Oryzias latipes: one gene and its partner. The protein of the gene in region 1 interacts with the protein of each later gene in a biochemical or structural test. Links are inferred from orthologs where the notes say so. Each region holds a gene or a part of one and is shown on either strand. Other genes may lie near its edges.

Region 1 (4,550 bases):
ACCCTTCCTGTACTTATTCAGGCTAGTGTTATATGGGGGCGGGGCTTTGAGCCCATTGGTTACCATGACATGATTGATGTTGTGTGATAGAGGTCATGACAATGTCATTTCCACTTCAAAGGAGGGATGACTCGAGGTTACATTGTGTACTTTTGAATGTAATTTTTTTCTGGAAATGTTTTTCATTCACTTTAAGCTTGAACATATAGACTCTTCAGTCTGACTCCTTTTTTTTTTTTTTAATGCGTCCTCTCCATTCATTTCTGTGCAGAGCTCCGAATATTTTGACAACAATTTCTGATTTCGCTCCCTGGTGTCTTTGACTTTCCAAGTAGAGATTTAGCTAATTTTTATTTCCTCCTTCCTCCTCAGCGTTGTAGCTCTCTGAGAATTATTTAGACATTTCTCTCTCTGGTTGTTGACTCTGAGGACACAGTCATGACTTTGCACATTCCTCTGCTTTGTGTTCATCAAACATCCCTTCACTTCAAACTAAAACGATCTTGTTGACAGCTCAGAAGTTCTCTAAAGTCTAATTACAGCTTATCAGTCCTGATTTGTACAACAGAGATTTGTGTGTTTTGGCTAAAAACAAAGTCAGTCTTTTGAAAGGGTTAATATGAGACAAGATTTGTTATGAAATTTTAAAGAAGTTTAGAGTTTAAAGCCAATGACGCTGAAACAAATACAGGGACAATAATCTCAATCCTAGAGTGTAAACTCTGCATTTTTGATAGAATTTGGGGTAATTCTGAGAATATTTGCAGTTGGGGGTGAACGTTGGATTGTTTGAACTGTTGACAGGTGGCAGGAACAGCAGCGTGATCTCCCACGGCGCGCTGACCCCCGCTGGCGGGAACCGCCCCCTCAGCAGCGCCTGGCTCTGCGGAGATTCTGGCAAAGGCTGCCTGGAGACGACGCACATGCTGCCCAGCCAGACCATGTCCGTCAACAGCCTGGACATCATCGGACAGTGTCTCGTCTGCGGCACCGACGGAGAGGCCATTTTTGTCAACAGACATGTCCCAGTTTAAAAAATAAGTGTCTTTTGTGAGGAAAGAGATGTTACTGTCCTCATGTTGTGTTCTGACTGTGTTTTGTACAGATTTGATTTAAAAGGTTATTAAATTACAAATAAACGCTCAAATAAGTCTAAAAAGTTGTTTTATTGTCAGTCTTGTTTTTTTATTTTCCAATATTTACGATTATTTGATAGATTTGTATTTACACTGTGTAAAAAAAAAAAAAAAACAAACAAGTCAGCTGCTAAGAACACAGGGAAAAATGGTCTTGATTTCAAATTAAATGTGTTAAACATCTTAAAGTAATACTTCCTCACAGAAATTCTATTTTTTTTTTTTACTTGACTGTTGTTTAATCATCTTTTGAGGACTAATACTCACAGATGAAGACAAACATATGAAATTATACTGCCTACCTTAAGGAAAATTCATAGTATTATGAAGCACTAGTCATTTTAAACAATTTGAAACGATTTTTTTTAAAGATCTTTTTCTTGTAATCGTTTTATTTCTGGTTTGCTTTTTATAAATTTTTAAGCAATGGGTTGTTTTTGATCTCATTCCCTGTTTGTTTCTTGACCCTTGATAGTTTTATTTTGAAAGCGGCGGCCACCGGAAGTGCAGCGCTGCACTCTGACGGCAGCGTTTACTTGTCATTCAGACATCCCGGGAATCCAACGCGACAAGGAACCAGTCACCGCGGCTCAGACATTTATCCATTTAACCTGCGTCCAGCGGAATTAACCCAAAAACACATCGAGCCGTTCAAACAGGGAGACAAGCGGCCGCTTCACGCGCTGGTAGGTTCCGGTTCTCTCTGCTGGTCTCTGAGCAGCCGCTAACCCTCAGCTGCTGTTGAATTTTAGCAAACACAGCAGGCCGTAAAGAAATGTTTGTCTTTGTCTGACGAATACAGCTTATTGTTTTAATCACAAACGACACCTACTATGTTTATAGTAAGGTAAAAAGATTTTTATTTTTAAGATATGTTTACATATTTAATGTTAATTGACGTAGAATTAGCGTCAAAGTAGCGTTTGTTAGCTAACAGAGCTAACAAGCTAGCATGTTTTGGTGTTACAAAGAAGACAGTTAACTTTTAAGTATAAACATGTAAAATACATTAAATGTCACCCGGAAGTAGGGATATAAACGTATTAAATCTAAGCTTAGCTCCTGTTTGTGACGGAAACATGGCCCTGTTTTTCAGTGCCCCTTTGAATTGAATTGAATTGAATTGAATTGGCTTAACCTGTTTGGTAGCATAACATGTATTCTTTGTCGTTCTCACGCTGCTGAAAACACATCCAGCTGAAGCATGCTGCTGTGAGGACCGACCAGAGCCTGCACTGCTGTTACCCTCTTCATCCTCCATCGTCATCGTATATGATCCTACATGAGGAGAGCGGAGAAGCCCGAGGGCTACAGACAGATGAGACCTAAGACCTTCCCCGTCAGCAACTACAATGGCAACAGCCAGCAGATGCTGCAGGAAATACGCAACAGCCTGCGGAACCTGACCAAGCCCTCGGATCAGCCGAAAGGGGACACCGGGGGACCTGGAAAGATGGCCCCTGAAGATCCACGGCAGCAGGGGCGCAGCGGGAACCTCAAAAACCAATACCAGAAGGCTTTACAGGAGATCCGCAAGTCCCTTGTTCCGTATAAAGTGAACGGTTCTGGGGACGAGGAGTCCACCACGTCAGGTGCTGATGGAAACAAGTCCCAGGACCAATCTGGGTTTGAGGAGGTATGAGGAATGCGTTTAGTCTTCTTAGATAATTGGATTCCATTCTGTACATACTTGTGCGGCTGAGGACGGTCACATGGTGCACTTTGTTTAGAGAGGAGTTATGTAGGAAATGCCAGGTATTTGACAAGCTGGTACAGTTAATACCATGGAAGCTGCATAGTTAACGATTTGCGGGCGTTGGTGTGGAGGAGGAGGAGGAGGAGGTCTGTCATCTTCATCTGTGCGTTCTGAAAGCCTAATGATGACGTGTTGATGATTAACACTCCAAAAATTCACAACATTTGAATTTTTTTCTTTCCTGTATACATTTCAAGCTTATTAATCAGTTGTTCTCTTCTGAAGCCATCCAGTGGACGCCGTGGGGGGGTTGCCTCAGACTACATGTTAAAGCCGAGTTACCAGGACCCAATGAGAGATCAGATGACTGCTTCCAGTTCAAACTCTTCAGCCCTGAAAGCCCCGGGTACGCACTCCTGTGGTGACGGTTGCTTCGTTTGATGACAAGTGTTTGTGTCTATTTGGCTGGTTAAACATTTGTGTGTAACCCAACGGTCTCAGAGATGTGCGGTTCTGGACAGAGAGGAAACATTCTGTTGTTTCTGAGGATACATAGAACGCCTTCGGTTAACGGCGAGGAGCTTTTGTTATTCAGACACTTTTCTCACTGTTTCACCTTATTAGGTTCTGCTCGGTAAAACTGAAATTTTTTTTGTGTGAAAACGAACATTTATGAAATTCTTCAGGTTATTTAGGAAAGCTTGAATTTAAAAAAAAAATCCCTAAATAAAATTAAATAACTGAGGGGAAGATTCCATTCATGTAATCTTTTGCTGTGGTTTGTTAATCTATATTCCTGGTTTGTGTTTAATCCCAGATATAATCCCAATCTGGCTAAATTTATGGTTTCAAGGCATTGATTGATTTCAAATCAGATTATTATCCTGCATGTAAGCAGTTTCACTTTTTGCCAAAGATGGAGCTGTTGTGCGGCATTGAATGTGTGCTTAGTCTAACGATGTGTGTGTGCGTGTGTGTGTATAGAAGCCTTCCACATGCCGCAGGTGGTGCTGCGGAGGCCGAGCTGGAAAGGCTCCATGGAGTCTTTGGGCTCTCGCCACGGCCCCAATATGGTGGACGGGATGATGTACCGCTCGGACAGCCCCGGACCCCCCCCTTCGTTCTCGCAGGCTCACCCGACTGCCAACCAGAGGGTCAACCCCCCCCTCCCTCCTCAGATGCGCAGCGTCACACCTCCCCCCAACCGGGCCATGCCACCTGCGCCGTCCTGGGACAACAACCCGCAGACTAACCGCCTCCCTGGAAATATGGATTTCTTCCCCACCCGCATATCCCCGGTGCCTCAGGCCCCCTGGGCTGATGGGTATCCAACCCCCGCAGCCCCGAACCAGCGAGTGATCGGCCCCGCCGCTGGAAGTCACCAGCCCATCATAATGCAAAGCTCCGGGGGGAGCAAGTTCACCTTTCCCTCTAGCTGGACTCAGAGTGGTTCCTCCCAACCGGAGCATGTGTCAGGGGGGAGCAGACAGCCCCCTCCCCCTTACCCTCTTACTCAGAGCAGCTCCACTGACCCCCAGGTGGGGGGACCCGCCTCGTCTCCTTCCTACATCAACGGCGGCGGGATCCCTCCATCCCTGATGATCAGTAACCGGAACAGCCACAACCTGGAGATGTACGGCATTGCCCCCCAGTCCTGGTCCCAGAGCCAGCCCCCGCCTGCCAACTGCAACAGCAACCAGGACCTGTCCCCGTCGTGG
Region 2 (3,816 bases), on another chromosome or scaffold:
AACATCGACCTTAATTTAGATCTAAAACCCTGAAGAAAATCCTCCTGGCCTTTACATTTTTAGGGTGAGCATTTGGTCTACTTAACCTGTTTTCACCCGCTTTGTTGTCAGTTTTTCTGTCATTGGTTCATCTTTTGATAATTGTGTGTTTAGGTTTTTTTTTAGGGTGCTGATCTTGCTTTATCTAATGGATCAAACTGGTGTTATTGTGTTCTCCCTGCACTCCGTGCTCACAGTGAATTTATAATTAACAGCTGAATGGATTTGTGTTTCTCTCCCAGTTCAGAAGCCATAATTTCTTCACTGAGAAATATCATTGTTTCAGTGATCAATGTGAGCATAAATTAAGATTTCTCTCTGTCAAACATAAGAAACTGTCACTGATGTGTTCTAATTAGAACATCACACACACCAATAGTTGTGTAATAGTCAGGATAAGTCACATCTATTCTCTACTCCTCACTCTTTCTGCTGCTCTTTTCAGGGGGATCATTTGCTAAAAAGCAGACTAGTTTCCTTTGTGTAATTTCTCTTTCCTGTCACCTCTCTCCCAGCAACAGAGAAAGGAGCGAGAGATGGTGAGGCAGCAAGAAAAAGGTCCCCATCGGAGAATTGACGATATGAGACGGGAGGAAGATAGAAGGATGGCTGAGAGGGAGCAGGTAACCAACTGCAGGGGACACGGAATCTGTAAGCAGCCAATCACCATGAAGTTAAGGCGTGTCTTCCAACAATACGGCACAAGTTGCTCTGGTGGTGAAATTCCATCAGTGGGTTGCCATAGCAGCAAAGGCCTAAATTAGTGTATTTACTGAGGGTAGAGGGGTTTTTTTGTGCGGAAGCTCTTGCAGGGTCCTCTCAGTCTGTACTCAGAGCACCATCTCCTTTTACTCCTACACACCTCATCTTTGTTTCCTGGGCGCCCCACTAATGTAAAATGTTTCAAATCTCAAAGTCTGCTTATCTTCATTTTATTTATTTAGATCTGCAAGTATGTGTGTAAACTTAGATACGTTGCCTCTTCTAAAAAGCATCTGCACCTTTCCTATTATGTAATTAATAATGACATTTAATCAAAACATCTCATGCTACATTTTACAGATCTTGCATAACGCATCATTCCAGCTTCTAAACAAATCTGGCACTCCTTCATTTCTCCTGTCATCACCCTAATGAGCACCACCTCTGTCTTCTTACCTTCCTGCAGGAGTTTATCAGACATAAGTTAGAGGAAGAGCAGCGGCAGTTAGAAATCCTACAGCAGCAGCTGCTTCAGGAGCAGGCACTGCTCATGGTAACTACTCCCTAATGTTTGTTTACAGTCATAAGCTTGGGTTTATGATTATTTCACCAATAACAGTTAATCAGTCGGGACATAAACATGCTGTGTTTAATACATTTAGCTTTTATTTTAACTTTTTAATGTAATGTGATTTTTTTTTTTAAATATTTTATTTGCCATATAATCTGAAATGAATAAAGATAAACATCCCTACATTGTCATAAAGTGTGCAGTAATGGTTATTCTAATCGGTAGATTGGAGGATGTGGATGTACATTACAAGCCATTAGTGCTGCTCACATATTATTGCAGATATTTTAACATATTTAATGACCTAGATTTCCAGGTGAGTTTAGGCGCTTTGCAGCCTTCAGTTGAAGCCTAGATTTCCCGCATTTCCTGTGACTTCTCCGTTAGTTTCCTACTGTAGAATGTACTGAGGTCATAATTAACACTGAGGTCTATTTCAGTTTTACAGAGGGATTATTGACTCTATATGTAGAACACTTGAGGCACTTAAAAGTGCATTCACAGGATTCCTGAGCTAGGCTTTATGGGGGCAGACAACAGGGTCAGTCACAGGGCAACCCCCCTGTGGAAACTATGAATGTTTAAAGGCTACATTTTGCAACCAATATTCTCTGATTCTACTGCAGTTTAAATCCTCAAATCTGCTTTCAACTAGAAACTAGCAGACTGCCTTTGCCTCTAATTTTTGCCTTTTATTTAAACTGTGGCAGCCTTTGCAAAGCTTGTAGTGATTCCAGTGCAATATAGTGGCAAATAAAAGTAATTCTAGGTTAAAATAGTTTTGGGAGTTCCAATATAGGTTCCTTATGATGCACAAATGTGTGTTGTGTTTTTACCAGTTATAGAACAACAGATTAGCTCTGTTTAAAGTTGCAGGTTTACATCCAAATTATTTTTTGCTTTTAATACTTAATACTGGGACCAAAGGCTTATTATGGAGACCAGTGTGTCGCGTCAGATAGGTTTCTGGAGTATGAGGTGTTTAACACAGGCTGGGGTATCTATGTGTAGCAGAAGTAAAGGCTTTGATGGTGCTGCTGGCAGTAGATGGGCCTCTTCTCTGGCTGCACCATGCTAGGACTACACTTTGTCACAAAGAAATCTTAATGCAGCCACTTTGGTCTGCAGAAAATTGCATTTTCGCATAAAATGACAGATGGAAGAGACATCTTGAGCAACTTTCAGGCTTCCTAGAGTTGTGGGGTTATCCATTATATTTAAGGACACACTCACTCTTAAGTTGGGAACCAAATCCCCAATCAACTGATGGGCAGACGGCAGCTTAAACCCATGGATCTGCAGCCACCGGATAGTTGCTGTTTGCTGCTGATGATGCTATTCGTCATTCTTCATTGAGTGCAGACCTCAATAATGGTGGCAATATAATTTGTTTATGATTTGAGATCACCTTTGCATATTAGGAAAAACTAATTTAAAGTTTACTGTATGTTTTTTTAACACTTTGCAGAAAGTTGAATTTTAACTTGAGGTATTCAAGTTATGACTATTTTTGTTTGCCAAAGGCTGGAAGAGCAGAGACCTGGTGACAAAAAGTCAACAAGTCAGCCGACTTACCTCATGCCAATCAGCAAAATGATGACGTTTTGTCAGAAATTGAACAATTATATTTGCCCCATGTGATGTTTTTTGTGCGTCCACTGTCCTTTGATTGTGGCTGTTTTTCTTTTTTGTTCAGGAGTATAAGCGCAAACAGCTGGAGGAGCAGCGCCAGTCAGAGCGGCTGCAGAGACAGCTGCAGCAGGAGCATGCCTACCTGGTGTCTTTGCAACAGCAGCAGCAAGACAAGAAGCCCCAGCTTTACCACTACAACAAAAACTTGGAGCCAAACAACAAACCTAATTGGGCCCGAGAGGTACCAGGCTGGGCTTGGTTTAAGTCACAGCGCCCTTCATGACGACACACTGTTGACCTTTCTTTTCACCGTCCTGTTCTAGGTGGAGGAGCGGAGTAAACTCAACAGGCAGGGTTCACCCAAAATCTGCACTACGGTCTCTGACACTAATATCCAGTCGCGTGCCGATTCTATCAGCCAATCAGGATCGGTTGCTCAGACACCACCCATGCAGAGGCCAGTGGAACCTCAAGGGGGGCAGAGCAAGGTTTGTGCTTATTGTGAAAATGCATGGATCTACATTTCTGCCTCCTAATTCCTCAGTTGCTTTACCTTTGACACTTTGCTTCTTTTTTTCTTTTCCATGTCTGTTTTCACTTTGTTCCCTCATTTACAAAATCCCCTTCCAACAAAAACATAACTGTGTCTTCTTCCCCACTTTGATGTCTTCCTGCGCTCTCACTTGGCTGCACCTCCCTCCTGGTCCTCTGCAGTTTCAGATGGCTCATTTGGTTCCTCTAAAGCCTTACGCTGCCCCTGTTCCTCGCTCTCAGTCCCTCTGTGACCAGCCCACTAAGAACATGTCCGCATTCCCCACTCAGGATCCTTCCCTCCTCCCCATACCTCGCCCCAACCACTCCAGAGAGCTTGT

What was found.
Region 2: of the proteins of lats1 (region 1) and mink1, one has a biochemical effect on the other in vitro, tested with the Homo sapiens proteins (2 studies listed by BioGRID). The link is inferred for Oryzias latipes from reciprocal best matches to the Homo sapiens genes LATS1 and MINK1.

Annotation. Positions count from the first base shown.
Region 1 is NC_019882.2:17,714,301-17,718,850, forward strand, and holds the start of lats1 (serine/threonine-protein kinase LATS1), read left to right. Parts: upstream 1-1,634; 5' UTR 1,635-1,822; intron 1,823-2,333; 5' UTR 2,334-2,418; coding exon 2,419-2,772; intron 2,773-3,117; coding exon 3,118-3,238; intron 3,239-3,816; coding exon 3,817-4,550. Other genes in the region: nucleoporin Nup43, read left to right, coding at 805-1,034. UniProt on the Homo sapiens protein: Negative regulator of YAP1 in the Hippo signaling pathway that plays a pivotal role in organ size control and tumor suppression by restricting proliferation and promoting apoptosis.
Region 2 is NC_019872.2:15,696,294-15,700,109, reverse strand, and holds part of mink1 (misshapen-like kinase 1), read left to right. Parts: intron 1-554; coding exon 555-662; intron 663-1,207; coding exon 1,208-1,294; intron 1,295-3,008; coding exon 3,009-3,185; intron 3,186-3,267; coding exon 3,268-3,432; intron 3,433-3,658; coding exon 3,659-3,816. UniProt on the Homo sapiens protein: Serine/threonine kinase which acts as a negative regulator of Ras-related Rap2-mediated signal transduction to control neuronal structure and AMPA receptor trafficking.